Linked DNA regions of Coturnix japonica. The protein of the gene in region 2 interacts with the protein of the main gene of each other region in a pairwise test. Links are inferred from orthologs where the notes say so. Each region holds a gene or a part of one and is shown on either strand. Other genes may lie near its edges. The genes, in order: DIXDC1, NDEL1, MIS18A, KALRN, CCDC88A, MRC2 and CCSER1.

Evidence for each region.
Region 1: the proteins of NDEL1 (region 2) and DIXDC1 interact in binary tests that used the Homo sapiens proteins (3 or more experiments, as listed by UniProt). The link is inferred for Coturnix japonica from reciprocal best matches to the Homo sapiens genes NDEL1 and DIXDC1.
Region 3: the proteins of NDEL1 (region 2) and MIS18A interact in binary tests that used the Homo sapiens proteins (3 or more experiments, as listed by UniProt). The link is inferred for Coturnix japonica from reciprocal best matches to the Homo sapiens genes NDEL1 and MIS18A.
Region 4: the proteins of NDEL1 (region 2) and KALRN interact in a two-hybrid assay, tested with the Homo sapiens proteins (2 studies listed by BioGRID and IntAct). The link is inferred for Coturnix japonica from reciprocal best matches to the Homo sapiens genes NDEL1 and KALRN.
Region 5: the proteins of NDEL1 (region 2) and CCDC88A interact in a two-hybrid assay, tested with the Homo sapiens proteins (2 studies listed by BioGRID and IntAct). The link is inferred for Coturnix japonica from reciprocal best matches to the Homo sapiens genes NDEL1 and CCDC88A.
Region 6: the proteins of NDEL1 (region 2) and MRC2 interact in a two-hybrid assay, tested with the Homo sapiens proteins (2 studies listed by BioGRID and IntAct). The link is inferred for Coturnix japonica from reciprocal best matches to the Homo sapiens genes NDEL1 and MRC2.
Region 7: the proteins of NDEL1 (region 2) and CCSER1 interact in binary tests that used the Homo sapiens proteins (3 or more experiments, as listed by UniProt). The link is inferred for Coturnix japonica from reciprocal best matches to the Homo sapiens genes NDEL1 and CCSER1.

What each region holds. Positions count from the first base shown.
Region 1 is NC_029539.1:5,431,072-5,435,398, forward strand, and holds the start of DIXDC1 (dixin), read right to left. Parts: upstream 2,890-4,327; coding exon 2,830-2,889; intron 1-2,829. UniProt on the Homo sapiens protein: Positive effector of the Wnt signaling pathway; activates WNT3A signaling via DVL2. Regulates JNK activation by AXIN1 and DVL2.
Region 2 is NC_029533.1:1,504,149-1,507,796, reverse strand, and holds part of NDEL1 (nuclear distribution protein nudE-like 1), read right to left. Parts: intron 3,147-3,648; coding exon 2,973-3,146; intron 2,207-2,972; coding exon 2,115-2,206; intron 474-2,114; coding exon 322-473; coding exon of another isoform or gene 318-321; exon of another isoform or gene 314-317; intron 1-313. UniProt on the Homo sapiens protein: Required for organization of the cellular microtubule array and microtubule anchoring at the centrosome. May regulate microtubule organization at least in part by targeting the microtubule severing protein KATNA1 to the centrosome.
Region 3 is NC_029516.1:94,345,394-94,349,528, reverse strand, and holds MIS18A (protein Mis18-alpha), read left to right. Parts: upstream 1-1,243; 5' UTR 1,244-1,321; coding exon 1,322-1,571; intron 1,572-1,646; coding exon 1,647-1,713; intron 1,714-1,810; coding exon 1,811-1,933; intron 1,934-2,956; coding exon 2,957-3,050; intron 3,051-3,146; coding exon 3,147-3,227; 3' UTR 3,228-3,818; downstream 3,819-4,135. UniProt on the Homo sapiens protein: Required for recruitment of CENPA to centromeres and normal chromosome segregation during mitosis.
Region 4 is NC_029522.1:19,180,865-19,184,512, forward strand, and holds part of KALRN (kalirin), read right to left. Parts: intron 3,634-3,648; coding exon 3,469-3,633; intron 3,094-3,468; coding exon 3,015-3,093; intron 1,883-3,014; coding exon 1,682-1,882; intron 760-1,681; coding exon 621-759; intron 1-620. UniProt on the Homo sapiens protein: Promotes the exchange of GDP by GTP. Activates specific Rho GTPase family members, thereby inducing various signaling mechanisms that regulate neuronal shape, growth, and plasticity, through their effects on the actin cytoskeleton.
Region 5 is NC_029518.1:7,440,458-7,444,105, reverse strand, and holds part of CCDC88A (girdin), read right to left. Parts: intron 2,520-3,648; coding exon 2,381-2,519; intron 1,761-2,380; coding exon 1,584-1,760; intron 1,044-1,583; coding exon 882-1,043; intron 1-881. UniProt on the Homo sapiens protein: Bifunctional modulator of guanine nucleotide-binding proteins (G proteins). Acts as a non-receptor guanine nucleotide exchange factor which binds to and activates guanine nucleotide-binding protein G(i) alpha subunits.
Region 6 is NC_029542.1:1,913,844-1,917,491, reverse strand, and holds part of MRC2 (C-type mannose receptor 2), read right to left. Parts: intron 3,063-3,648; coding exon 2,664-3,062; intron 1,646-2,663; coding exon 1,472-1,645; intron 1,323-1,471; coding exon 1,158-1,322; intron 1,008-1,157; coding exon 894-1,007; intron 377-893; coding exon 233-376; intron 1-232. UniProt on the Homo sapiens protein: May play a role as endocytotic lectin receptor displaying calcium-dependent lectin activity. Internalizes glycosylated ligands from the extracellular space for release in an endosomal compartment via clathrin-mediated endocytosis.
Region 7 is NC_029519.1:31,401,559-31,405,975, reverse strand, and holds the start of CCSER1 (serine-rich coiled-coil domain-containing protein 1), read right to left. Parts: upstream 2,843-4,417; 5' UTR 2,630-2,842; intron 1-2,629.

The DNA.
Region 1 (4,327 bases), on a different chromosome or scaffold from region 2:
AGAGTTCTTGCATTTCAATGACTCTGGAAGCCCTAACAGAATTTTCACCGAGGAAGAGGATTTGAAAGCTGGGCACTAAGGGCCATCTGCAGTTGTAAGGAGTTCAACAACATAAAGGTACTTTTGTTAGCAAATTACAGGTTCTTTAGTAAATACACTTTGCAGTGCAGGATTTCATTTTACAGCATTTTACTAGCACATACTCTGAAGAAGGGTCTTGGACCTCCCGCCTATTGGAAAGCATTCTTCTGAGGAGCAACTTCGTGCTTTCTCTCCACAGCCCATGATAATGGTGTCTTCAGGGTCAGCACTTTATCTCATGTTCTGTGAGCCCCTACAGATAATTATAATTAAAAGCCATTACCTGACATTTTCCACAGGTGTAAGAAAAGTAGCAATTCTGCTTCAAATCTGCCAGTTCTAGATCTCTATGCTGTTCTCATTTAAGCAGCGCAATTCACCACCTGCTGCTTAGGGCTCATGTTTCTTTCAACCATGCATCAGCACAGTCTGCACTACAGTAAATATAGGTAGATCAGGGTGCTTTGATATGCTACTCTGTCTTTTACTTTCAGTGCCATCTATGTGGCACTGTATCACGTTAAATTTTCACCTCCTCTGAGATTAGGGGATTGCAGTTTTTGAAGCTGTCCACATATTTCTTGGCAAAGTCATTCTGTAGTTGGTAGGTGCTTTTAAAGGGCCTGACATCCTTGCTGTCATGTTAGACTCCCAAGTTCTAGAAGAGAATTCATCTTTTCTGCACACACACAGTTGATGAAAACGAATCTATTCTTATTGTTGGATTTAGGGACTCTGCCTTGTAATCTTCACTCTGTTTTTTTCTTCATAGCCTGGTGGATGTTACCCAAACACCAGCTCTAACAAGGTCAAAAATAATAGGCCTTGTGCTACAAGTATGGTCTCAGTACGAAAGGTGTTTAGTGTCCTGTCTGTTTAGAGCACTGAACCAAAAGTCAGCAACAACAGAGTTCAAAGAACAGACTAATTGCATCAGGATGTAATTTTAAGGCCTTGTGTAATTTCTATGCTTTCTGACATTATTACCTTAATTAAATAAGCTCTGTAATTTGCCACCCTGTGCCCCTCAAGTTTGAGGTTTCTTTTGCTTTTGTGTGGGAGGCCTTTGTAGAAGCAGACTATAAAAACTTTAATGCAAAGAAAACAATGTTTCTCTCAAAGCCAGCAGAAGATGCTTTTCTTTTTTTTTTTCCTCTTGAAAATCACTGCTTAAGAAGTATGACACTCGTTTATGTTAATCTCCTCTGCGCAGATTTGGAAAGTACATCCTTGTATTCCAAGGTATCTAGTCACCAAGAGTCACCTGGGCAGAAAGGATGCTCTATCAAAAGAACAGCAGGCCCTGGGTTAGCAAAGCAGTTCCTGCAATACCTCAGTTCATTGTGTGAAATGAAGTCTGACAGGAGAGTGAAGGTCAGTTTTTATGGGGGTAGAAGGACTTTTTTCCACAGCTGAGCAGCCTAAGGGTAAAACCAGATGCTCTGAGTGGAACTAGCACTGAACATAAAGTTGTTCTTTGCTCTTATTAATATACAGATTACAATTAGCTTACACCAGGGAAAGATCAGCTGCTCTCGAGAACAGGAAGCCTCCACAGCTTAAACTAAAGCTACTAGCTACGCTACTAGCTAAAAGCAAGACTGAGATACTCTGTGGTGGAGGGGACGGAGTATTTATACGGTCAGTCAAAGCAATCAGAGGAGACCTGTGGCTGGCATGAAGCTGTGAGGCTCACACTTCATACCCAGTTTGCTTTCCCCTTAATGACCGGTGGTGTTAAGTCCAGGATGGATGTGTGTTTTCTGCAAAGAATGGAGCATGGGAGTGGAACAGACAGGTGGTGTCTGGGCCATGAAGGGATGAAAAGAACCAGGAAACACAAACAAAACATAAAATAATAAAAACACACCAAGAGACCATCCCTGCCACCATGTGAGAATGGACAAAGCAGCCACTGTTTGCTTTCATCGTGAGCCCTCACAATAGTCCTTCCTCCTCAGCCTACTGGCAGCTAATGGTGCTCCAGCACAGTCTGCATAAGGAGTGCAGCCAGGTAGCAGCTACCCAGGCATTCTGTACTGAGTGCACACAGAGTCCAACCAAACCAACTTCTTGTGCTCCCTGAACTGGGAATTCAACAGTGACCTGCCTTCCCGCTGCAGTCACAGGATTCCCAGCTCTGGAATTTCTTGTTAGTTCTCACTCCGTCTGATTTATCTGTCCCCCCAATGCTACAATAATGAAAAAAAGAGCACTTTAAAAGCAGCATTTTCGAGAGCCAGGTGAATTTTGATCCCTCTGAAATTCAACCTACTGAAGACGATGGGAAACAAAAAGACACCATGCTCATTGTCAGCTTCTCCCAAAAGCTGTGTGTTTACAGGCTTTCTAACAGCCATCAGATACACAGACCTCACGTACTCAAGAAAGGAATCCATTCCATAAAATAAGCCATTCTCCATAACTCGTCGCAATTTATATTATTTTCTTGTACAAATGTAAAAGCTATATAGAGAAAATAAAAATTCCAAGTTAAAATCATCAGCTGTAATCCAGCCACAAACTTTTTAGAACTACTGGTTTGCAGCCCCCCCCGTGGAGCTGCCCCATATTGCCTCCTGTTAGTAAACAGCTCTCCCTGCTCCCTGGCCACAAAATCTTGCTCATTTTTCTCCTTTTCTTCTCCACAAAACACTAGGAGACACATCGGTTCCTAAGAAACGCTGCAGAAAAGCACAATGCCTCACCCTGGAAAAGCTCACATGCGATTTGGATGCATGCATTTACCTCTGTGAAGCCCTCCTGCAGAATATCCAGTAAATTCCCCCTGGCCAAACAGGCAAGCATTCTCCTCGAGCCCACTGAGGGGTGAGGGTCTCAGAGGGCGTTTGGCAGATCCTCCAGCTCTGGGCACAGCCTCTTCCTCCTCCTCCCAAAGACAAAGAGTTGGAGCTCATCAGGAACCGCATTCATATCCCATATGTGCAGCCCGTTAGTGCACGCAGATAGTTGAGCCGAAGTCAAGGCTTGCACTGGGCATGCTCACGAGAGAGCTGCTGGGGGAGCAGTGGAGAGATGTCATACGGTTCCTATAGAAACGCCTCAGCTTACGAGATGCAGCCCAAACGCTGAGTTAGGGAAACATCTGAAACCTATTTCCAGCAGTTGTACTCACATGAAACCTGCTGCGGAAAAGAGGTTTTCAAACCCACCAAACACAGACAGCCCTGTCTGGAGTGGGGGCAGGGAGCGAGTCAGCAAATAGCGGATGTCTTGCTTAGCTAGAAAGCAAAAGACTGTAAGAGCTGGCCAACTTAAACTCCACAGCCCCGAAGAAATGGCACCATTTTTAGCAACCCTGTAGAGACAGGAAGCTGCAGAAGAGGCCACAACACAGCAAATAGCATCTGCACAGTGCTGACCTCCACTCTAGCTGCTGTGCAAATGAAGATGAAAGAAGAAATAAGGAAGAAAACTTTAAATTAGAATGAAATACAATCCCCAGCAATGTTTCTAAATCAACAGTAACAACGTTCATTCCAGAAAAAAACAAAACAAAACAAAACAAAAACGTATTAAATATCTTCAGGCAATCTCCCAAACTTCATCTCACATTAGAAGAAGTGCCCTGAAAAAAGAAAGAACCCATGGAGAACCTCCTGCCAGGGGCTGCCTGCCAGTCCTCATGGGCAGCACATCAAACCCTGCCCAGCAATACACTGTGCCTTCACAGTTTTGAATACCTGGCCAACCATATCTAAGGGTAGAAACAAACATGTTTTTCTGCCTAAGTATTGAAGGCTCTGGAGGAAAAAGTCACTGCATAAATTTACCATGCTAGTGTTTTCTCCATCAGATATGGAAGATGCAGGTAAAATACAGAAAGACAAATAACAGCTGATTTCCTTCTACAACCAAGACAACTAATTAAAAAATGAATCACTTTCCACTTGTGACATGAGTTTTAAATATATTCCTGTTTGTGATTCCTATTTATTTTTTCCAAACTCAGTAGGAACTGAGACTTTTGTTTTCTTTAATTGCTATGTCCGATCTGTTAAGCAAAACAATACAATATCATGAATCCTTGCAAAAAATCTTGCAAGGAGGCAATGCTGGTGGTTAGCACCTTGATCCAATTTGCTCTTGAGACTCAAAATGACTCATAATACCATTAACCAGATGACAGTAAATATTTCTCCCCATTTTGTACAGCGCAGACAAGTAGGTTGTGCCTTGCAATTTCAATGACATTTCATGGAAAACTTGAATGAAAGGGTCCTCC
Region 2 (3,648 bases):
TCTGAAGGGCATGAATCACTGCACCAGAAGGTTTATGCAGCCACCAAGAGCTGAGGCAGCAGAGGGGCAGCACAGGCAATGACATCCCACCAGCTGAGAGGTCAAACACTTGTTTTCCTCTTTGCTTTACAGAAGCTCGCAGTGGAATGCTGCTTCTCTGTCCCCTTGAGAACCTGGCTCCACAGATTATTTGTCTTACTGGATACAAAGCTGTGGTGGGCTAAAAGCAAGCCAAGGAAAACTTCTGCTTCACACAGCATCCTAAAACACCAAACACCACCCCCACCACCACCCTCAGTGTACAAACACATACCTACTTACCCTTTGTCAAAGAAAGAAGTATGCCCTGGATGAGGGTACTTGGTGCCATTGCTGTTCATCATGCTGCTGTTAGCATTCCCTGAAATGTAGGATTTCCGTGATGCCTGGTCCTTTGCAAAATTCCTGCAAGCAGCTAATTTGGATTCTAAGGCCTGTGAAAGGGAAAGAGGTGGAAGGAGGGAAAAGAGGGATTTTATTTCCTTTCAGAGAAAATATTTTGCTGCTCCAGTTCAAGCTTCAGCATGACCAGAGATCACTATGATCAGAACCCCACATTGCGATCATCTTTGGCAAAAACTGAGCTAAATGGGAACAAAGCTGTTGTTTTCTCAAATGAGAACCACGTAATAAGATGCTGATGCTCAGTAACTTCTGCTGATCCACCCCGCTAAGCTTTAGAAGAGGTGCTACAGACACAGCATAAGAGGGAAACAAAGACAGCTAAGCCTGTCTCCAAGGTTTCTACTTCGTTTCTACTACATCCAGCAAGCCCGACCAGTTCTTTTTCTCCTATACAAGGTAGGAGACTTGCCTCATCCACTGACTCCTAGCAGGGTGGACACCAAAACCCCAATTCTCTCCTGTGGTTTGAGCTGTGCCATGTAGCTCGCTGTCTCACATGCCAGCCAGAAAGCTGAAGGGAACATCTTGGAGAGAAAGGGAGCCCAAAGCACAAGACAAGGCATCCTACAGGTAAGGCAACCCAGAGAAATCCTGCACATCCTATAATTATTACTAAATAAATGCATGAGCTGGAATTTTGCATTACTGGCTGCGTGTGTTTAAGAATAGGCTGGGAAAGAAGCATGCTTATTTGGCATTTCCTGTCCTCACAGAGCAATCACATGGGATGTCATTAAGCTCCCTAAATCCCCTACAGACTCTTACTCACAATGATCCCATTTTAAACATGCCACTCTGTAACCCTGAGCCGTCCTGCTGCCCTTTCAACCCAGCCTCGATGAGCTCACCAGCTCCAAATACAAGCAATGATCTGATTTTTAATGTCAAATTTGGCTAAAACAACCATATTCACGTCAGCTATTTCTGTTCTCAGTGCTAACCACACAGGATAGAGGAAAGCCAGCCCTGGAGGCTAGACACCAAGGCTGCCCATGCTTCCAAACACTACCCAAGGAGGCAAGTAAACAAGCTTCTCATAACTCATGTCTTCATTCAGCTGGAAAGCTTGCCATGCTAAGCAACACTGCAACAGATGTCGAAACCGCTTCTTCCCTGCTCACAGTTGTAATCCCTTTAGAGGCTCACACATTTCACTTCCCAATCAACTACAGATGGGAACACTTGGCTTTCCCCTGATTTCTTTTTTCACTTTCTTACCAAAGGGCTGTTTTACTTTATGTAAACAACTCATTTAAGTTCTCAGTAACCTCTGCAGACCTCCTCAGAGACTCCAGCGGTCTGATATCAGCTCACCTTCCATGATATAACACAACTGTGCAGTGAGTACTAAGGCTGAGGCTCAGCTCTGAGTCCTGCTTTCATGTGAAATATGAACAAGCATCTGCTAACGTGCACCAAAAAAAGTCTTTACACTAAATAAGGATTTTATCTCTACAAGTTGGCATCAGAACCGTAGCAACCTGCTCCATCAATCAAGATTATTAAAAAACAAGCGTTATCACATCCCAAACACCAAATGTGGACTCTCTTAAATAAGAGAGACACCTTACAAACTAATTCAGCACAAGCCAAGGCCTTTTCATCCCATATGTGGATGAACACACCACTGTGTGTTCAGAACTGGGGATAGTTCAGTACAGAGCACTCACCCCCACTTTCCGTAAGAGATCTCCCACGATGTTGAGTGCAGATATTCTAGCTGAAGGAGTAAGAGGGCTTGTACCAAATCCATTTGGTATAGCTGCAAACAAACACACTTTGTTATACACGTCACTCCTCCACTGTTAAATGTATATTTTTAATCACTTTTACATGGAGATAAATCTAAAATCTTACTGCAGACTCTTTGCACCAACAGTAACACAGGCTGCACAATCACTGGCCATAGAGAGAAGAAAAAGCTTAATTCCTGCCCAATACCCTCCTCCCCATTAGGTACCCAGGCAGAGTTCATGCACCCTCCATCTGCATAGCTACTGCCTGCAATCTATCTAATCCAACCAGAGCTTTCTCTGGAATCTACTTTAATTTAAAATAAATAAATAAATGTTTTAATCCTTGCGATTGACCTGAGCCTTCCAGATGGGAAGAGGACTAGGCTAATATCCCACAGCTTCCTGAGAGAACAGCACCCCCGAAAGCACATGGTAACAAAGACAGCCCAGACTGTCAGCACTGCTACCCACTATTTACCCACCAGTGAAATATTAGTCACAGCATTTCTCTGCAACCCCAAATAAATTCTACTGCAGTCCTCTACTGCGGAGTGCAATCCTCACCCCCTACAAAGCAGTAGCTAAGCTTCACTCTTTCTTTTCCATAGTATTAACTAATTATACTCATTAAACAGGTCTGACACTGCTCCAGTATTCCAGCACATGCTATGTAGGGATCCACATGTACCCTGTATTTACTTCAAGTCAGATTCAGACCAGGCCCTTGTTAGTAATTTTTGGGCAAGCAGAACGTACTCCCAACCAACCAGGCACAGTTTGCAGGAGTTGTACCTTTTGGGGAAGGAAAACTATTTTCAGATCCTTTTCCAACAGGTGTAGCTGGCAAGGAGAGAGAAGCCTGGACAGCTGAATCCATCTTTTCACAGTCTAGAGTTGGAGAGCTCGGCGCAGACTTGCGGGTGACTTCCTGCTGCCTTTCCCGTACTGCCAGCTCCTGCCGCAGGTCTGAGTGTGCAAGATAAAACACACATTGGATTAGTGACAGACTTCTCCAGCATTCTGTTCATTTATATAGAAGAGAATACTTGGCAATAATCAGTGATTCACTGTTGCTGGCTCTCTGCAGCAGCAAAAGACTCTATCTTAAATACCATCACTGCCAGATGGAAAGAGAGCCACATTCTACTGGCCCAGAGAGCTGTGTACACCCAGAAAGTGAGGCAGGTGACCTGGCCTCAGCATTCCTCCCTACTTGTAGTTTGAGTTCCATGGAAAGTGTGTTGCAGAAAAATGCAGCCAGTCACGAATGCCTGCTAACTGCATTCAGATGGGAGGTTAAGGAAACACGTTAATGACCTGATCTTGTGATCTTAGGATCCAACACTGCCCTTCCAGTTTAATAATCTGTAAGATCGCACACTAGCCAGATATTGTGAAGGGATGCTGTTTCTTGATTCATCAAAATGAGAACAAGCAGACTAAAGAGCTCCATAGCCCAAATGACAGG
Region 3 (4,135 bases), on a different chromosome or scaffold from region 2:
TTTAAATCAGCTTCAACCAAGTACTTTTTTTCATTGTGCTTGAGCGCCCTCAGAAAGAGATTGCTTAACTGATGCCTATGTAAATCACTCTGGAGTCCTGTAGCTCAAGGACTGCCTTGGTACTAACTAATGTTGAGCAAAAATGAATATTAATGCCTGACAGATAAATAGTAGCAGCCTTTAAGCGTAACCCTTGCTTCCTGGTGGGCAGTTACATTATTCCTCAGCATATCAGAGCTGAGATGGATGCCAAGTAAGCTAAGAATGGGATGGACAAGTGCCAGATGTGTCACAAACCCTTCTCTCTGAGAGACAGCTGCAATGAAGTGTTCTCTGGAGCTACTGGAAACAGCCAGCTGGGCTGAAGGAAATCTCTTTCTATTCACATAAAGGAGGGGGCAAGTACCTGACAAAATGCATCATAGACAGAGGATGCAACAAAGCTGATGAAAAGTCTGGAGCATAAAATCATAACAGGGAGTAGCTGAAGGAGCTGGGATTGTTCAGTCTGGAGAACAGGATGTCAGGGGAGACCTCACAGCTCTCTACAACTATCTGAAGAGAAGCTGTGACAAGGTGGGAGACAGCCTCTTCTCCCAGGCAATGGTGATGAGAAGAAATGGCCTCAAGTTGCACCAGGGGAGGTTCAGGTTGGGTGTTAGGAAGGATTTCTTGTCAGCAAGAGCAGTGCTGCAGTGGCACAGGCTGCCCAGGGAGGTGGTGCAGTCACCGTCCCTGGAGGTGTTCAAGAGCCGTGTGGATGTGGCACTGAGGGACGTGGGCAGTGGGCATGGGGGCCACAACGTAGGTAGAGCCAGCTGAAGGCTTGAGGTGTTGGGCCGTGGCAGCATAGCAAGTGGTACCTAAACGTGCTTAACTGAGCTGAGCAGCAAGGACAGCAGGCCCTCAGCTGGCTTTTGGCTGCATCCCTAAAGCCTTCAGTGCGTGTGGTGGCTGGGGAAGCCAGGGCCGCATCCCATAGCGCACAACGCACCAGTTTGGCTAAAAACAACTTTGAAACCAACCAAAGCCACTTTCTCTCTGCCTTCTCAGTGCTACGTCACCCAAACACCTCCTAACACACTCCAGCAGGGGTTATGAAGGCACAGCACTGAGCTAGACCAGCGCTGACACACAACCCCACCTCCTACGTCTACGCTAGTAACGTAACCACGCTGTGGGCAGGGACATGTACTAATCCCCGCCCCTGCTACGCTAGTTGCGTATGTACGCTGTGGGGCGTAGCCACGCACCGAACCCCGCCTCATGGACGCGACGTATTCGGGCTGGTTCCGGTTCCGTCGTGGGCAGTTTGAAGGTGATGGCGGGCTTGTTGTATCCGCTGTCAGGTGGGGCGGTTGCGCTGGATTCGTCTCTGCCTCTGCTCGAGTCGACCATCCCTCGGGAGGCGCTGCCGATGGAGCGACCGCGGGCTAACGGGAAAGGGGAGGAAGAGGAAAACGACGAGAACCTGCCCATGGTGTTCCTGTGCGGCGGCTGCAAGCGGCCTGTGGGAGATACGCTGAGTTGGGTGGCCAACGATGAGGACGCGACGTGTATTCTGCTGCGCAGTGAGTGCTGCTCCCATCTGCCCTCTCCTGCATGACGGCTTTTGGGGGCCCTTGGTCAGTGTTGGCTCTGTGCAGGTGCCTCCAGCAACATCTCAGTGGACAAGGAGCAGAAGCTGTCCAAAAGGCCTGGAGAGTGTGGATGGTGAGCGCTCTTCAAACCACAGTCGATAAAATACATGTGTATGTACTTTTAATAGGCGAAGGGAGGAGTGATTTGCTCTCTTTGTTTTTTTTTAAAGCATGGTTGAAACGTTTTCCTGCTCTGGCTGCTCGAGGGCACTTGGCAGCATCTACAGATGCACCCCAAAGCATCTCGACTACAAGAGGGATTTGTTTTGTTTCAACGTTGGCTCAATTGAAAGGTAAAGACAGAATCTGCATTGCTGTCGGGTTAACCTCACCTTCCAGACACCATATCAAGGGATGCTGCTGCTAACAGTCTGAGCAAGTTCCCTATGGTAGTTAGGTTTTGAGTATCTCTGGAGGAGACTCTACAGCCCCTCTATGCTGTTCATTCTGGTAGTCTGCCACTCTCATGGTAAGAAGCTTTTTCTCATGTTTGTATGGAGCATCCTGTCTTCCAGTTTGTGCATCTTGCCCTCCTGATAGGGCCAGGCTCTTTTCAGTGGTGCCCAACTGCTTGGCTCTGCCCTTTAGATATTTATAAGCTTTAATAAGATCGGTTCCCTCAGAATTCTCTTCTCTAGGCTGAATAGTCTCAGGATCTCAGCCCTTCTGGTCTTAAACTGTTCTTTGATGTTTGAGGATGTTGTTAAGTCTCCACATTAGAGTTCTGTCCGAAGTTTATTTAAAAATCTCAATCTTCAGAGCCATCTTAAAGGTGGAAGATTTTAAGTATCCAGACTAGAGATCTTTTATCCAAGTGTTGTTATAGTACTAGTGATAAGCTACTGTTACTTCCATGTGGGCTAGTTTTACTGTTTCTACTTCTATGTGAAGTTCCAGCCTGTTCTGCTGAACATACATGGGTGTTTTCCTTCCTACTCTGAACAGTCTTTTCTTCTTTACACAGCTAAATACTTTGGTTTTTGATGACAGTAAAAGTCTCTGGAAGACTATGACAGGGCTACAGAGCAGCATTCTCTTGGAGTAGTGATGATGTCTAGTTCTCCCATCTAGTGCTACACTAATCTTAATATCTGAATGACATCTTGGTTGTTTAGAGCTCAAAGCTGTTGAAGTTTTACCGTACAGCTCATTTGCAAGATTGCTAAAAATAGGGTTGTGTTATTGTTGTTGCCAAAATAGTGCTTTGACTGTGCTGGTGCATTAATTGCGATCTTATCAAGAGTGGCGGATGAATCATACAAGTGTTCTTTTGCCTTCAGAATGAAAAGTGCATCATCTAAACTGTAGCATATCAGTTACATTCTAGGATCCTCAGAAAAGCAGGCTGTTACTGATGAGGAACCTTTAACTCTCGAAAGTCGAGTTGCCTTGGAAGAAGCACTAAAAAGGGTAACGCTTAATCTTGCATTGTTTTGATGACATCTATACTTGTTCTTTATATTGTACACCTGTTTCTAACCAGGTCTTTCCCCATTTACTTCACAGGCAAACACCATACTAAATGCTCTGGAGGCAAGGCTGGCTACTGTTGAATCAAGAATCGATTCTCTTCACAGTAATGCTTGAAAGAAAATCCTGCGTGTAAAATAACTGCTGGAGATTGATGTGTGTGAAACTGGGATCTGTGGGAATATTTTAAAAGCTGCTCGAAGATCTGAAAGATGTGGGCAGTAGGACAATGCCAGCTACTGAGTCTTTGTCACAGATGAGGAGTTCCCCTTTTGTCTTGAGAGAATACCCTGGGAAGAAAAAGACTTCTAAAAAACATTTCAGTCAATTTGTTGTTTATATAGAAATATTTATTTTTTTTTACCTTGGAAAGCAAAGGTCTTATCTCCTGGTTGTCCTGTATTTTAATATCTGCTGAACTGAAGGCTTCAAATGCATCAGCTACTATGGCTTCCTGTGCAGTACTGAGAGTCACGCGTGTAACAGCCTCAAAGAGGAGAAGAAACAAGGCTACTAGCAGCACACCTTTTAATCAAAGTTAGGTGCATATTTGAACAAAGAATTCAGTGCTGCTTAAGAAACTTCTGTCAATATTTCATTGTTAACATGTAGATCTTACTGTTATGGTTTTCTGTATGTATGTCTTCCTAGCATTGTGTTGTTTTTTTTTTAATCCCCAATAAATCAAAGTAAGTGGTAATCGTGTAAGGGAAAAATCTGATTTCTGTTTATTTACATACCATTGCCCGATGCTACTTAATTGCATCACTGCTAATTTTTAAGTAGTCTCCAGAAACTTGGAATGAATTTTCCCACTGTTCTTCCTACTGGTAACTACCATTTCTCTTGAGAGCTCTCTTATTTTTCACTCTCTCTTCTCTCTTTTTTTATCTACCATTTCGTTTTAAAGTAGCACGCAGTTTGGCACATTGCAGTTGTCTTGTAGTCTTTCCTGTTCAGGCAACTCAAACACTGTTATGTTTATGCCTGCTGAGGTATTCTAAGCTCTGGTTGTTCCAGTCAAA
Region 4 (3,648 bases), on a different chromosome or scaffold from region 2:
AACACTGGTTCTCTGTCTTCCCAGATCAATGGAGTGTTGGTGGGTATGGCAACACAATGCCAAATCCAGGACATCGCAGTGCCTCCTGCCACATATACTAACAAAAGGAGGTACGAGCTGTGCTAATCTCACTGAGAACAATATTGCAGACTGCAGATATTCTTCTGAACCTCTCCCTAGGTGCATTTCCCACCTCTCAGGCTCTGCAGCACACGCAGTTTGCTGCTTTCCCCTCTCAGCCTTTACCACCTCCTGCTCTCCCACCCTCTCCTTCTCCCCACACTTACCATGTTGTGAGCCCAAGCCATGCCCTCGGGATGTATCTTATAACTCCCCTTCACTCAAAAGCTACTGACTCTCACCCTTCTCTCTCATTAAATCCCTCTTCCAGAAAGCCCTTGAGAACAAAGCAGTGAGTTAAGGAAATAGTGCATCTCTGAAGGAGAAAATAGACCCTGCAGGTTACTGAGTCCTTTCTCTGGTCAGCAGATCTGGAGGGTGGTGCTTGTCCATTCAGCATCACCTCTTGGGGCACAGACTTCACCTCCTTGCTGTGTGTGCAGCTGGGAACTCTATGTACCAGGACACCAAGTAATAGCATCATTCTCTTCTTTTCTTACCTTTATATCTAGATGAGCCACTCGGCAATTGTGAAGATACTGCAAGGCTTCCATTGTGTCTCTTATGTAGAAAGCTACTTTTTCCTCCATGAGTTCATCATGGTTCATAAGATAATCTAGGAGACGACCATCATCCATCCTACAAAGAAATCAAACCCCACACCTGAAAAGACCACATGACACCTGCAGGAACAGCTAATATTTGATAACAAAGCTGCAATGGAAACTTTGTGACCTAAAAGTGGAGGAAATCAAAATGAGAGATTTGATTAGGATTTAATGATATCACGAGGTAGAATGATTGATCCTTGATTAGTCCTCAGTTGTCATCCCCGGCCATTAATAAATCTAGTGACAAACTTTGACAATTTCAAAGTACACTAAGTCGCTTAAGGACAGATTCAATGGACAGAGGAGATACCTTTGAAAACAGATCCACTTATTTATCTGGGTTCATCTATTTATTTATAGAGATGGTTGAATAATGCAGGGAAAAAAACACTGATATTTCAGCTGCAGGTGGTGTGTTCTGTGGGAAACCTAACTCAATAAGAGTTTTCCACCTAGTCTTATTTATCAGTATAAATAAACAAGCAAAGAGCCCAAATATGTTTGATTGGATATACTGTCACAAAGAAGCAGTTTGGATTTGAGTTGCTATTTCTCCTTATAGGGACAAACATAGTCCCAATGCAGCTTTTTTTCCATCAAGAACTATTAGAACAATGTAGGCTCCAATCCAGCTGAAGTGCATTTGCTCAGATATAGGGAGCAGACTAAACTGCCCAAATAAACCTGATGCTGTGTGACAAACTAAGTGCCGATACAATTACTGAGCTTCTAGAATAGAAAGTTTTATTTGTACCCCTGGAATCTTATCTGCTGTAAACAAAAGGCAGTGGAAATTCAGCATAAAATGGCTCCTACATTTTGACATCAAAGTCAATAAGAAACAGATGACAAAGTCTTTGCCCTGATGAACCATGGGTGAATTTTATCCTTGGTTTTAATAGTGCTGTGATTCACACCCAGCTGAATGAATTGTAGCTCCATGTACTTACAGCTCCAGAACTAGGATGTAAGAAGTAGGAGACTCGTAAGTATCGTGGATAGTGATGTACTGAGGATGCTGTAAGTGCTGTAACAGAGCTGCCTCGTGGGCTGCTTGCTCCTTCTTCTTCATTTTTTTACTGATGAACTTTACAGCAACGTCTTTCCGGGTAGCTTTGTGAACACATTTCTTTACAATGGAGAATCGTCCCCTGGAAAGAAATAAAAGCAGAATAATGAATGGGATCCATGAATAAATCATGCCCGTTTTTTCAGTGCGATAGCAGACTGGTTTTCAAAGTGTTATTTGATTCAGTGCATTAACATTTCACAAGGAATCAGACTTATCTCGTTGTTCATAACCTTTTCCAACACTGAATTGCTGTCTCTCACCCTGGGTGTTTGGATTCCTTGGGGATTAGTAAACACGGAGAGCAAACAGAGCACTTTGTACAGCCCTGCTGATGTCCTCTAACAACACCCCTTGGGTTCAATTTGCTGCCTTTTTAACAGGTTCTGACTTTTTATTCCTAACCATGGATCTCTTCTCTCCAGTTGTTTGAATAATGAACCCAGACTTAAGACAACTAAGAGAAAAGCCTTGTTAAGCAATGGCTAAGCAATCATTTTCTCTTGCTGATTCAGGCATACAGTGAAAAATAGGGAGCAAGCAGCTGACACAAAGCACTTAGGAATATCATCCAGACTGGTGCTTGGTACCATTCCTGGAAGCAAGAGTACTTAACAAAGCCACAAGCTGCACTTGGCCCATTTTTAAGATATCACTATTCTTTGCCGGTCTTGCAGCCCCAGAAGCACTTATCCCCAATCTCTGGGTGTAGATGTGGCTGCCTTAACCCGCACTGTTTGCATGTCCCTTATCAGCACCATGCAGCTCTTGCTCACTGACTGCCCCACTCAGCATAGCCCATTGGAATGTGCTTTTAGTCTGTCACATGCCCAAGTACTTCTGCAAACAGCCTCCAAGGTTAAGCACACCCAGCACCAGCAAGCCAACATGACTTCAAAAGCTCACATTGAGCCAGGGATGTCAAAGCAGATACCAGAAGGCACTGCTGGATCTGGCTGCCCTGTCATTCAGAGGCTGGAGTTCAGTCATCCATGTTCCAGATGTAATGCTCAAATCACAACTGGTTTTGGGAGACAAGATGTAGTCAGCATTTTAACCAGTCTGTATTTCAATCAGTGCTTAGTGTGTTCTTTCTAAAAGGAGCAGCAATTTTCAAGCTTACTACAAAAAGCGACCTAAATTCCCCGTTAAAGAACAAGCCTCAAGCCATTGTTGTGGTATTTCGCTGCAGTGATAAGCAGGGTTAATATTACCTCCCAATCTCATGCAGCTCCGCGTAAGCAAGATCAAAGTTTTCCTTCCACGAAACTGTGGCACCATCAGCAGCAGAGTCTTTGGGAGAAGAAAAGCACATTGAAGAAAGTGTAAAGACACGGCAGACTGCTTTGTACCATAAACTGCACATTTAAAAGTTATGTGAAGATATGTTAATAGGTTGCTCAGAGAGCCCTGGAGGTGCTCAAGGCCATTTGGGGGGGGGTTGGGGACTGACCAGTGGTCTTTAAGGTCCCCTCCAACCCAACCATTCTGTGATTCTATGATGTGATGTGATTCTCCATTGTGTTTGACCACCAAAAACCAGAACTTCCCAGGGGAAGCTGTGGCTTTAAGTTGACTTTAAATTTGGCCTTGTAATTTTCTGGGGCTGAAAATGGACCACAGGGACAGTCCCAGGGCACATCTGTGTGCAACTGGGAGGCCACTCACCGTACTCTGGAAGCCTGACAAATTCAGATGGGTCACTGGGCAAGCTGATCCCCCAGGGGTTGCTGGCACTCACACGGAACTGATACTGGCAGCCTGGGGACAGGTCTTCAATGACAAGGTAAGTGTCCAGCGTGGAGGCCACTGACTGCTGCCAGACCTGCGAGCCTGCGTTGTGCAGAG
Region 5 (3,648 bases), on a different chromosome or scaffold from region 2:
ATTTGTCTGAAACTCAAAAAGATATTTCCACACCCATCCCCACTGATATTTTAAAAACTAGATGAGAGACACCATATGCACAAAGACTCTGTTTTGTACACACTCTTGCCTGCCACAATGGGGAGCACTGTGCGCTAATTAGATTTCAGTGTGGTAGATGGAAAGTGCATCCGGGGTGCAACAGCAGAAGACAGAAAGATGACTCAAGGCATTCACAAAATACATTATTTGTTCACACACCTAAGGATTCCTTCACTCATTGATTTCTGCCCACTTTTCATCACTTTTCGGCATCTATCTGTGCTGAACTGCAGACTTTATATTAAATTTGTCATCAAGTAGTTTTGATTTTTAGAGCTCCAAAACATACTCAATCCATTAAGAAGCGTATTTTATTTATCAGAGGGGAAAAAAAAGCCCCAAACCATGTATTTGATAAGTAACACCTTGCTTTTTCTTTTAGGTATGATTATTTATTTATTTTTAAATTCCAGCTATAAAAATAGAATAACTTAGTAGTCTCTGTGGACACACCATCTACTTCCTTGACCTAATTTAGAATTAAAAAAGAAATAATAATAAATTAAATTATATATATATATATTAAAAGGCAGATTAAGAGAACCTACTCTACGCCTGATTATAAAGCCACAAGTTTAAATAGGAGAAACACAAGGTAATAAAAGCAACTCCTAGAAAGTTTGTTCTCCATCATCACTAAATATCATTTGATTGTGCTTAGTGCATATTATTTGCACATTCCTTTCTCTTCCATATGTACACCAGAATCAAAACATGACTTACATTGTTGCCATTAGCTTAAAAAAAAAAAACAACTCAGAATTGAATTTATTTTTAAAAAGAAAATACGAAAATATTACCTGAAGCTTTGCATTTTGGGTCTGTAGAGTTGTGTTTTGCTCCTGTAGACAGACAGTCTGCCTCTGAAGTGCAAGAATCTGAGCCTGAAGATTGTTATTCTGTGTCTCCAGCTGCTTTAATTGTGTTTTCAGTGCTTGCTTCTCTGCTTGGAGCGTAGCATTCTTTGAGCAACAACACAAAAGAAACTTTGAGTTCACAGGTTTTTATGGAACTTTAGAAACAGCACTTCCTCTAAAGCAAATAAAGCAGCGTGATTTACACTACTATGATCCTTTGTACTTTGGCAGCAAGGAAGAGATTTACAACATTCACAGATATTTACAGAGTGGAATAAAACCGTATCACCTTATATTACAAAAGTAACATACAATGATATCGCTACAGTTGAAGATTGAAATAATGGCTGTTATTTTACCAATGGAGAAACAGTAAGGAACTCTCAATGACGTGTATATAAAGATTATATGAGTGATTTGTGGGATTCAAAAGGGAAAAATTCAGATATACATTTTTTTTCCCCTTTTAAATGCCTGTCAAGTGCTTTATAGCATCACAAGACCCAGCTGTGCTAAGAAATACAACACAGATTCTGTAAATTAGGTGATAAATAGCACATTTCTTTAAGAATATCCTTATTCAAATTACTAGAACAGCTCAAGACAAACATTTCAAATGAGAACAGCAGAAAAAGCACATCTTACATTCCTTTCCACTTCAATTAATCTATCTTTAACTTTCAGTAACTCTCTAGTAGTTTCCTGGGTTTCTTTCTCCCACTTATTGACTGACTGATTTTCTTCTCCCTTTCTTGGAGGAGGATTCTGAACCATTCTTTCCTCTTCTTGTCTTTGTTTGAGAGCTTCATAGTTCTTTTTCACCTGAAATTATTTAGGACAATTTGCATTCAGTTTACAGTTTTCCATTTCCTATATCATATATTATTATACAACCGTACCACTTTCCAGAGTACAAAAAATGCTCTATATCTCTGTATTTCTGTGTACATTTGATGAGATACTGCAAAAATGATGTATGGATACTGATAGCTCAACCATAATAAGCCGACAAATATGACTACAAACCAAAAGGAGACTTTATTTTAGAGCTTTCAGTTGTATCTCTCAGCTTTCATAATGAAGTCCAACAACCAAAGAGACTATTTCTTTTTTTGATTAGCCATTCAGGCTCAAAGTAGTTCAGGAAAAGTAACTTAACAAGAATTAACTTTTTTTGGCATCCCAAGTCAAACAGACCTCAGAATATTTATCTAACTGACATATTCAATGATCTTCAACTTCTTTTCATGTGATTTCAATTCTGGACCTGTATTATTGTAGCTTTAAAAAGCAATTACACCTTTGCCCTGCTTTAGGCTACCCCAAGGTTACTCATCTTTTTTGCTGTCTTAAACAAAAATACCAAGCACAGAGTAAGAAACAACAACAGTAGCTGGAATATGATTCATTTAACCTTACGCAAAAGAAGACATTCTCCTTACTGTTTTAAGTTCCTGACGGAGCTGCTGGTTTAAATTTGTTGATTCTTCTAAACGAGCCTCCAAAGCAGCAATTTTTTCTTCTTTTATCTCAAGAGATTTCTTAAGAGTGGATTCCAATTTTGACTCCAAAAGTTTGTACCTATTCAAAAGCATGCCACCAAAAAAAACCATATATATGCTTTTATTTCAACAATTACTTCAGGTTCTTTAAATGTTCACGACATTCTGAAGCAGCAGGCTCAAGGGCAACAGATACACATAAGCAATACTCAGCCACAACAGTAGGGCACTGACTACTGGGAGAATTAGTGTGCGGGTGTGCTGACAGCACCCTCCTTTCTGGCTGCACTCCAGCAAATCCAGCAGGGACTGCAACTAAATTCAAATGTGAAGTATTTGGAGAGCAAGATTTTCATCAATTCCCATTTCCTGCCTGCTCCAATAGAGGAGGCATTAGGGATAAGAACGGTTCTTTGCAGGTGCATACTCATTTGATGCATGAGTGTGTGAATTGCTCACTCAGCCCAGCTGCTGCTATTTTAAGACTGTTACCACTCCTGACATGTGAAGAGGCCTTTGGGGTTTTCTTTTTTTGGTATATTTATAATATTGTAGGGCACCTAAAGAAACAATCACATATTTTGGAGAGAAGTGACCAGATTTAAGATATATTGCTTTATAACAGTATTTCCTGAAACTGTCAGTGCAGGATATTCTAATACATTATTAGACCTTTTAGAAAATAGGATTTTAGAAGGCTACACTCAAATCAGTTTTCAGCTGCTGTCACTGTACATGTGTTCAGAATTTGGAAGACATCCCGCTTTTGCCAGCTGTAGGATAAAATAGAAGCAGCCATAAACTCTTTCCTTCTTAATCTCAACTGCTGAAAAATAACTCAGATTGAAGAGAATTGCAAGAGACTCCTCAATTGACAACAGCATTAGATCTAATCAGGAACTGGAGCAGAAGACCAATGGGCAGAGAATTAGTAAGTAGAAAGCTGTCCAAAAACATTATATAGTAGGATGAGAATTCTAGATTCTAAGGTACAAGAAACAGGCAGTTTATGAAAAAGTAGAACTGATAGCATTTCATCTTTGCGAGCTGAAGCATGCATTCAGCTACAAATAAGTTCTATTACTAGAAAGTTATACACTTACATAGAAAAAGAAGGAAAAAGACTATTAACAGAGACTCAATCCCTGGCATCCCTTTGAATACTGAACAAGAAATGGTACAAATTTCTGTTCTCACTGACACGGGTA
Region 6 (3,648 bases), on a different chromosome or scaffold from region 2:
TCTGGGGAAGCACCAGGAATCTCCCATTTCTCCTGCTGCCTCTCCTGATGTCTGACCTGTGAGCATACAGAGCACTGAGGTGGTGCTGCTTTGCAGCCTTCCAAGTCGATGCCCACCCTGGTGCACCCTGATCACCTCCATGTGCTGCCAGTTGGGACCAGAGCTGGGGAATGGTGGGGAAGCTGGGATCCCACCTGCACCCATAACCTGGGGTTGCTCAGCCCCTACTCACCTGTCAGGAAGGGGTCAGTGGTGGCATTGGGCTTCTTCTTGCAGACATAGGGGAGGGCAATGCCGCAGTCACGGTTCTGCCACCCCCCAGAAGACTCAGTGCGGATCACACCACAGTTCTCCTCGCTGGGGTTATCAGGCTGGTCTGGAAATGGATGGAAGGGGGACAGACTGCTGGGGGCTCACAGAGCAGGGCTAGCAGGACACAGCTCTCCTCGCCCCAGGAAGAGATGGATTGATTTTGTGGCACAGTAGGGATTATTTGTTGTGCCTCGATGCATGAGGACCTGGAGCATTGGATGAACTAGAAATGCCAGGTGGCAGTCAGTGGTTGTCCCCAGACCTCCTCCAGGGGTATATTTATCCCATGAGTGCCCTGGGGGTGATGACATCAGGCACAACCAGAGCATCCCCTGCAATGGGTCCTTCTGCCCAGTGAGCTAAGGGTTAGAGATGGAAGTGGGCAAATAATGCCACCAGTGTCCTCCACATCAGGCCATCGAGCTGCCCATCACTGGTATTCAGCAGCACTTGAAACAAGGATGCTCAGATCAGGGCACCTTGGCAGCCCAGGACACTTCTCCTGCCACCTTCCCAGAGCCACATCCTCTGCTCACAGCCCATCCCCTGACCCTGTCCCCCCCACACAGCCCCCAGCTCACCGCTCTCCCAGTTGAGGTATTTGAGTGGCGAGTTGTCAGACCATTGCCAGCCCCCATTGATGTCCAGGTCATTGAGCCCAATCCACAGCGTGGAGCTGTACCCAGTCAACAGCCCTGAGACCAAGGTAGAGAGAGGATCATCATCAGCCCTCCAGCTCCACGCACATCCCCAGCCCATAAACCAAGCCCAACTCAACCAGGACAGAGAGTGCAACCAGTTGACCCTGGTGTCACCAGTTCTGCCTGAGGGCCACCCTGCCTCACCATTGATGTAGGTCTGCTCATGGATCTCGGTGATGCTGAGCAGGTTGGCTCCTTGCTGCTCACAGCTGTTCCAAGCCTCCCGCCAGGACAGTGTAGACTGGAAATTGAACTGGTAACAGCTGTTGGTGAGATGGTCCTTGTCCCAAAAGGTCTCACAGTCATTGCCTATGGGGACAAGCAGTTGGCACCCAGCACATCCCACCCCAGCTCCAAAAATCCCCAAACCAAACCAATATCCCACCAAAGCCGGGCACTGAGCATCCACCAGGATGCCCCTGCATCCCATTGGGATGGGGCAAGCCACCCACACTTACTCTTTATGGGACAGAAGCCCCATCGCTCATCCTTGCCGTAGTCCTGGGTGGTGGCACACCAGAGGTGGCCGTCCTCCCGACCTGTGCTGGTGCACTCATGGAACCATTGGTTGTCGTACTTGAAGGGGATGGTGCAGGGCTTCCCATGTGAGTTGCCCTGGATGGTATAGATCTCTGCAAGAGAAGAGGGTCCCCCCATAAGACTGCAGCAAGGGGGAGCTGAGGTTGAGGTTTCTCCTGGTTTGGGGTCCAGAGGGTGCCTGGATGTCCTGGCTTTGTCTGGGATAGTTGATTTTCTCCTTACAAGCTGTGTTTTGGATTTAGGATGAAAATAATGTTGATAACACAGCCATGTTCTACTTGTTGCTCAACAGCACTTACACTGAGTCAAGGACATTTCAGCTCCTCACACTGCCCTGCCAGGGGGGAGCTGGGAGGGCACAGAACAAGGACAGCTGACCCACATTGGCCACAGGGACATCCCAGACCATACGATGTCATGTGGAATGATAAAACTGGAGGAGCTGGAAGGGGGGGGCTGTGGGAACTGGCTGAGCATCAGCTGGCTGGTGGTGAGCAATTGCCTTGTGCATTGCTTGTTCTGTTTATTCTTTTGGCTACTGTTGATTTTTTTCTTTTTCTTTCCCAATTTTTTCCTCCTTACGAAGCTGCCCTTATCTCAACTCACGACTTCTAACACTTTATTTTTCTCCCCATACCACTGCAGGGTTGGGGCAGAGAGCTGCATGGTGTTTAGCTTGGGACTGCTTTGGCCTAAGGGCTATCACTACTGTTAATGGCTCCTGGGTGTCTGCAAGGCATCAAGGCAATGAGGACAAAGAGAATCACAGAATCATTAAGGTTGGGAAAGATCTCTAAGCCCAACCACCAACCTCCCCTCCCATGCCCACTAAATCAAGTCCCTCAGTACCACTCCAGGGATGGTGACTGTACTGCTGTGCCAATACAGAACCACAGAATTATTAAGAATGGCAAAGAACACAAAGAGAAGGGAAGCCCCATTTGGAATACTGCATCCAGCCCCGAGGCCTGATCCAGTGGGGGGCAACCAGCCCACAGCAAGGGGTGGGACTTGTGGGGTCCTTGGGGTCCCTTCCAACCCAACCATGCTGCGATGCTATGTAGCATTATAGGAAGCAGATGGCGAGCCCGGCAAGTGACAAAGCCTTACCAGAGTAGGGCACAGAGCACAGATCCTCCTCAGTTCCGTATGTCCTCCACTGAGAGCTGCGTGCCTGGTCACCCCTATCCAGCGAGGTGTTGTTCGGTCGGGCTCCGAGGTGCTGTGAGAGCTGCTCCCCAAGACCACGGCAGCTCCAGCGCATGTTGATGGACTCACGATCGCACTCATAGGTGGCCAAAGGGTGCAGGCCAGAGGTGGCATTGCCCCCATGCCATGACACCCCCAGGCACTGCATGGCCCCCACGTTGAAGAGGCGGTTGCGTGAGACCCATTTCCACTGGTGGGCTGGGGAGCTGGCATTGCAGCCCTTGGCAAGCCGCACCAGAGAGTCCTTCGTCTCCAGGCAGCCCTGTGCACCCACGTTGTAGATGAGGAAGACTTTGGAGTCTGGGTTGTGAGAGGAGAAGAAGTGTGGAGAAAGAAAGGGTTAAAGTGCTGCCAGTGGTTGGCCTGGCATCATAGATCATAGAACCAACAAGGCTGGGAAAGACCTCCAAGATCACCCAGACCTGTCACCAGTATTTCCCTCTACACCATGTTCCTCAGTACAACATCTGAACGTCTCCTGAACACCTCCAGGGGCAGCAACTCCACCTCACTGAGCTGGCCAACCCTCCGTTAACATGGCCAACCCTACTTTGAGCTGGCCAACCCTTCCTTATGACAGAATCACCAAGGTTGGAAATGGCTTCCACGATGTCCCAAGTCCAACCATCCACCTACCACCAATATTTCCCACTACACTACATCCCTCAGTACAACATCTGAATGCTTCTTGAACATCCCCAGGGATGGTGTCTCCAACTCCCTGAGCTGGACAGCCCTACTTCAAGGTGGACAACCCTTCCTTGTCATAGAATCACCAAGGTTGGAAAAGACCTCCATGATCATCCAGTCCAACCATCCACCTGTCACCAATAGACCAAGTCTCAAAGTACAACCTCTAAACACCTTTAGGGGTAGTGACTCCACC
Region 7 (4,417 bases), on a different chromosome or scaffold from region 2:
TTCATGGAAGAGCAGGAATTTGGCCAGATGAAGAAGACATCTCTTTTGTAATTTAGAAAACAATTCATCTAGCAACCCAAACCACTCCCAAATGTAAAGTTGCTCGTTGTCCAGCCACCTACTACAAATATTATTCGAAGCATTAGGTTTGAATCGGGAGAAATGTTAACTGTACGTGTGTAGTTTACGCAGCACAACTGTGCTTTCATGCAACCACACACTGAGACACACAGATACAAGATCTCACCTTTGCAGCACTTTAAGTGACTCACAGACTTAAGTACCAAACATTTTCTCTCCACATGACCCACACATGGTATGCACCTACCTATTGTCTCAGGTCATCTTGTATGACTCTACATCCATCCCTCCGCTCAGGCCTGCACCAAGCTCTCCCAAAGGTAGTAGGTGATGTGCACAAGCTATTCCAAAAAGTCCCACAAGGTGCACAGCCAAGGACTGCATTCTGTGGACTGACAGACCACTCAACTAAATCCTCCAAATAAGCAACCGGAGAAATTGCTGCAAGAATTCAGCATCTAACAGAAAATGGATCTGCTGCCATTAGTAAGAAAACTAAGCTCAGATCTTGTCTGCAACCTTTCCCAGTGGGGCTTGGTAAAATATCTCTATTTCTATCTACTTCTTTCTAAGAATGAAAAACAAACAAATAAATAAATGGCACAACCACAAGACAACCACCAAGAATGTCCTGGCAGTCTTTTAAGAAAACAAATGACAGCTGAACTACAAGGCAAACACAGCATAAATTAAAGCTTGTCCTATTGCTTTCTGTTTCCAAGTACTGAAGTACCAAGGTCCAGGCAGTCTTAACAAGAGCAGAGGATCTGTTTGCCTGCTATGTTCCCCAGCAGGTCTATACACTCATGTAAATACAAAGCAACTGAAAAGCTGGAAATGCATGTTAAGATGACAGGCCAAAACACTGCAGAGACCATAGCACTCCTGATTTCAGTGAGTAAATGAACTCCAAGTCGCAGAAAATATCCCTTGTTGACACAACACACCTTGACATAGCCTGGACAGCCACATTACCTTCCCCTGAGTTGTTCTCTGCTTAAGATACCAGAGAAGACCAACAACCTTAGACTGAAAAGTCAACCTCATGTCCCCAAGAGGGCTTTCTAAGACTAATCCTCTGAGTAATTTCAGGACTGAGTCAGCCTTTTGCATTCCATCTCTAAGACAGCATTCTTGAAATAGGCATTTTTTTTTCCTACTATTTCTGCAATAATACAGTTCTACAGTAGTCTCAGAAACTGAAGGTAAAACAAGCCCCAAGAGACAATCACCAATGCAAAAAAGGGTTTTGCATTATTATTACTTCTAGCTAGGCAAATACAAATCCTGTTGTCCTTTATATTAACTGCATTTGTACTACAGACTCATAGATCGAGAAGCTATACAAGAGCTCTCCTAAATGATTAAGAGCAATGTCTTACTATCTCAGCTTTTCCAGTTCATTAATATTTCACTTTTATATATTCATCAGCTGCTTTTACAACATGTTCCCTTCTCTCCTTCTTAAGTGTGAGCACAGAAAAGTGTTTGAAGTAACTCGTAGACCTCGCCTCACATCCCCACCTCCATGCCCCCAGAGAGTTTAACACTTCAAGTGCAATACATACCAGAGAGAAAAAACACATCTGGCACAGAAAAGGATAAAAAGAGATGTTGAGCCTCCCTTCTAGTTGCATTCAGCTATAAAGGTGTGCAATCAGAAAATAAAGCACGCTACAGTCTCTACACTGAGACGTTTACTGTCATCAGTCTCCAAGGCAAGAGGGAGACGCACAGTTCTGAGGGTTCTCTTCTCCGTGGAAAAACAGACCTGCCTTGCTCTTCAGAAGGAAGACTTGCCGCAACTTTCTTTGCCTTACAGAAACGTGAAAGGTCACCTCCTTCAGCCAGGAGAAAACGCGTAGAAATCAGCCAGAGAAAGCTCGGGATTTCCACAAACCCGGTCTATAATAGGCAGCACCACCACCATCTGCTCCACCTTCTGAGCGTGCCATGTGCTTTTGGAAAACACTGGCAGCGCCTTCGGCTCCTGCCCCCAGCCCAGCCCCGCGCCAATGCCGCACACGTTTCAGAACGCACTTCTCTTCCTGCCATCTCCACGGGTTCATCTTACATCCCTTCGTAAATAACAATAAACGAACAGCAAAACGCAACGCCCGAAACGAACGAGAGGAAAAAGGACCCGCCGTCCCCACTGACCCGCAGTCACGCCGCCGGCCCCTCCCGGGGACACCTGCGGGCACCGAGCCCTGCCCGCCCCGTCACAAAGCGGTTCGCACCGCTGCCTCCCCCCGCTCCGCCGCCCTCGCTAATCCCCAGCGCACCCGGGGCTCGGCGCGGGGGGCTGCGGCAGCGCCGATCCTCCCTCCGGCCGGGAGCCGCCCCGGCAGCGGGGAAAGACGGCGGACCCGGCACGGCTCGGCACGGCGGAGCGGTTGGGCCGCCCCGGGGCGACATCCTCCGCATCACCTCCGCACCTGGCACCGCGGAGCACCCACGCCCACCCGCCTCCCGAGCCTCGCACGGCTCCCCACGGCACCCCGCGGCCTGCGGTACCGCCCGGGGCAGGGCCGGGGACGCGCTATACCTGGCCGGGCTCCTCCGGCAGCCGGCGGGGACCGGAGACCCCGCTGCGGCGCCGCGGCCGCCGCCACCTCCCCGCCTGCGCGTCGCGGTTCACCGGGCGGCTTCCTGCGTCTCCTCTCGGCGCGGGATGAATAATCCGGCCGGGGTCAGGCAGTCACGCTGCGGCTGCGGGCTGTGTGTGCGGAGCGGCGGCGTGTGGGCAGAGAGCGAGCGGGCGGGGGCGGGCCGGGGCGGTGCTTCCGCGTGTGTGTCGGCGCGGGGCGGTGCGCGGGCGCTGGGTGGCGGCTGTCCCCGCGCGTGGCGTGGGCGTGTGGTCGCCGCGTCCCTGCGTGCCCCCCGCAGCTTGAAGCACGGAGGGGAATGCGCCTCGAGGGGAAAGCACGAGCCCTTCAGGCTCAGTTCGGCCCTGCCCCGGTGTACTGACGCTCACCATCTGCTCGAGGGTTTGATTTTATTTTCTGCCGCACGGCAATCTGATTTCACTTCCTCATCCTCTCCTGTGATGCATGTGTTGGGATTATTTCTCAGTGCAGCTTGCCTATCACCACCTAGGAGCATCACGGTGCTTGATTAATGGAACGAGGAAAGAGCAATGAGAAAGTAGCAGCCATATGACAGGGAAGGTCTCATCTGCATCAACACAGCAATCGTGCACCTGGAAAACTGGAGTCGAGGCAGCAGTTACGCAGCATTTCGTGCCCCTGTTCCATTCAGAAAGAAGTGGTAAAACAGAGGAACTGTTATTGATAGGTTAAGAGGTAATGGCCTCAAGTTGGGCCAGGAGAGGTTCAGGCTGGGTATTAGGAAAAGCTTCTTCTCAGAAAGAGTGGTTGGGCACTGGAATGGGCTGCCCAGGGGGATGGAGTTGTACAGAAAGCATGAAAATGTGGCCCTGAGGGACACAGCTGAGTGGACATGGTGGTGTTGAGTTGATGGTTGGGCTAGGCAGTCTTAAAGGCCTTTCCCAACCTTAATGATTTTATTATTTTAATCTTTAAGAAATATAATTGAGTTTTCATAATATGTTTGTCTTGATAGTTTATACAGCATCATCAGAAGCAACCATTCATTTTTATATGTAAGTGACAATCAGTCAAACATATTTACTACTCTGTTCTGTGATATGCAACAACAAAACCTAGAGGTGTTTCCATTTATTCCTGGGCCAGATAATAAACCTAAAGCAGATCAAGTGTTCTGTGCTCACAGGGGAACAGCAGGGGTATGCTGCACACTGTGATGCTACATGAACAGAAACAGGTTTTTTCATAACCCATCACCCCCATTTAAAAATGTCAAAAATCTCATGAGACACAACTTCACGAGTAGGTGATCATCATTCACAATTCTGATAGTCATAATTTGGGAATTTCAAACAAGACTGCATTGTAGCTGAATAGTGTTACTGAGTGTTCACAATCCAGCCAAGCATGCAGGCAGCTCTATGCACGAGTCGTCTCAGTGAATTCTAAGACTTGCTATAATTGAAATGAAATACCTGCTTAGCCATTTTATGAAGCTTAGACAGCCTTGAAGCCAAAGGCAGAGAAATCTGGGTTTTGCTGAATCAGGGTTCTCCCAAGAGCCTTGCATGATTTCTCAACTCCATCTCTTATCCTTCATTTTCCTTGCATTCAGCAGGAGATACTCACAGCCTCCTAATAGTTAACCCCATCTCTCCAACACGTTTGTATTACCTCTACTGCCTGCTGCTGCCCCAAAAGGTGAACCACGTGATTAAGCAGCACTTCCAGACACATTTGCAACTGATGCTCCCAGTGCAGCTAGG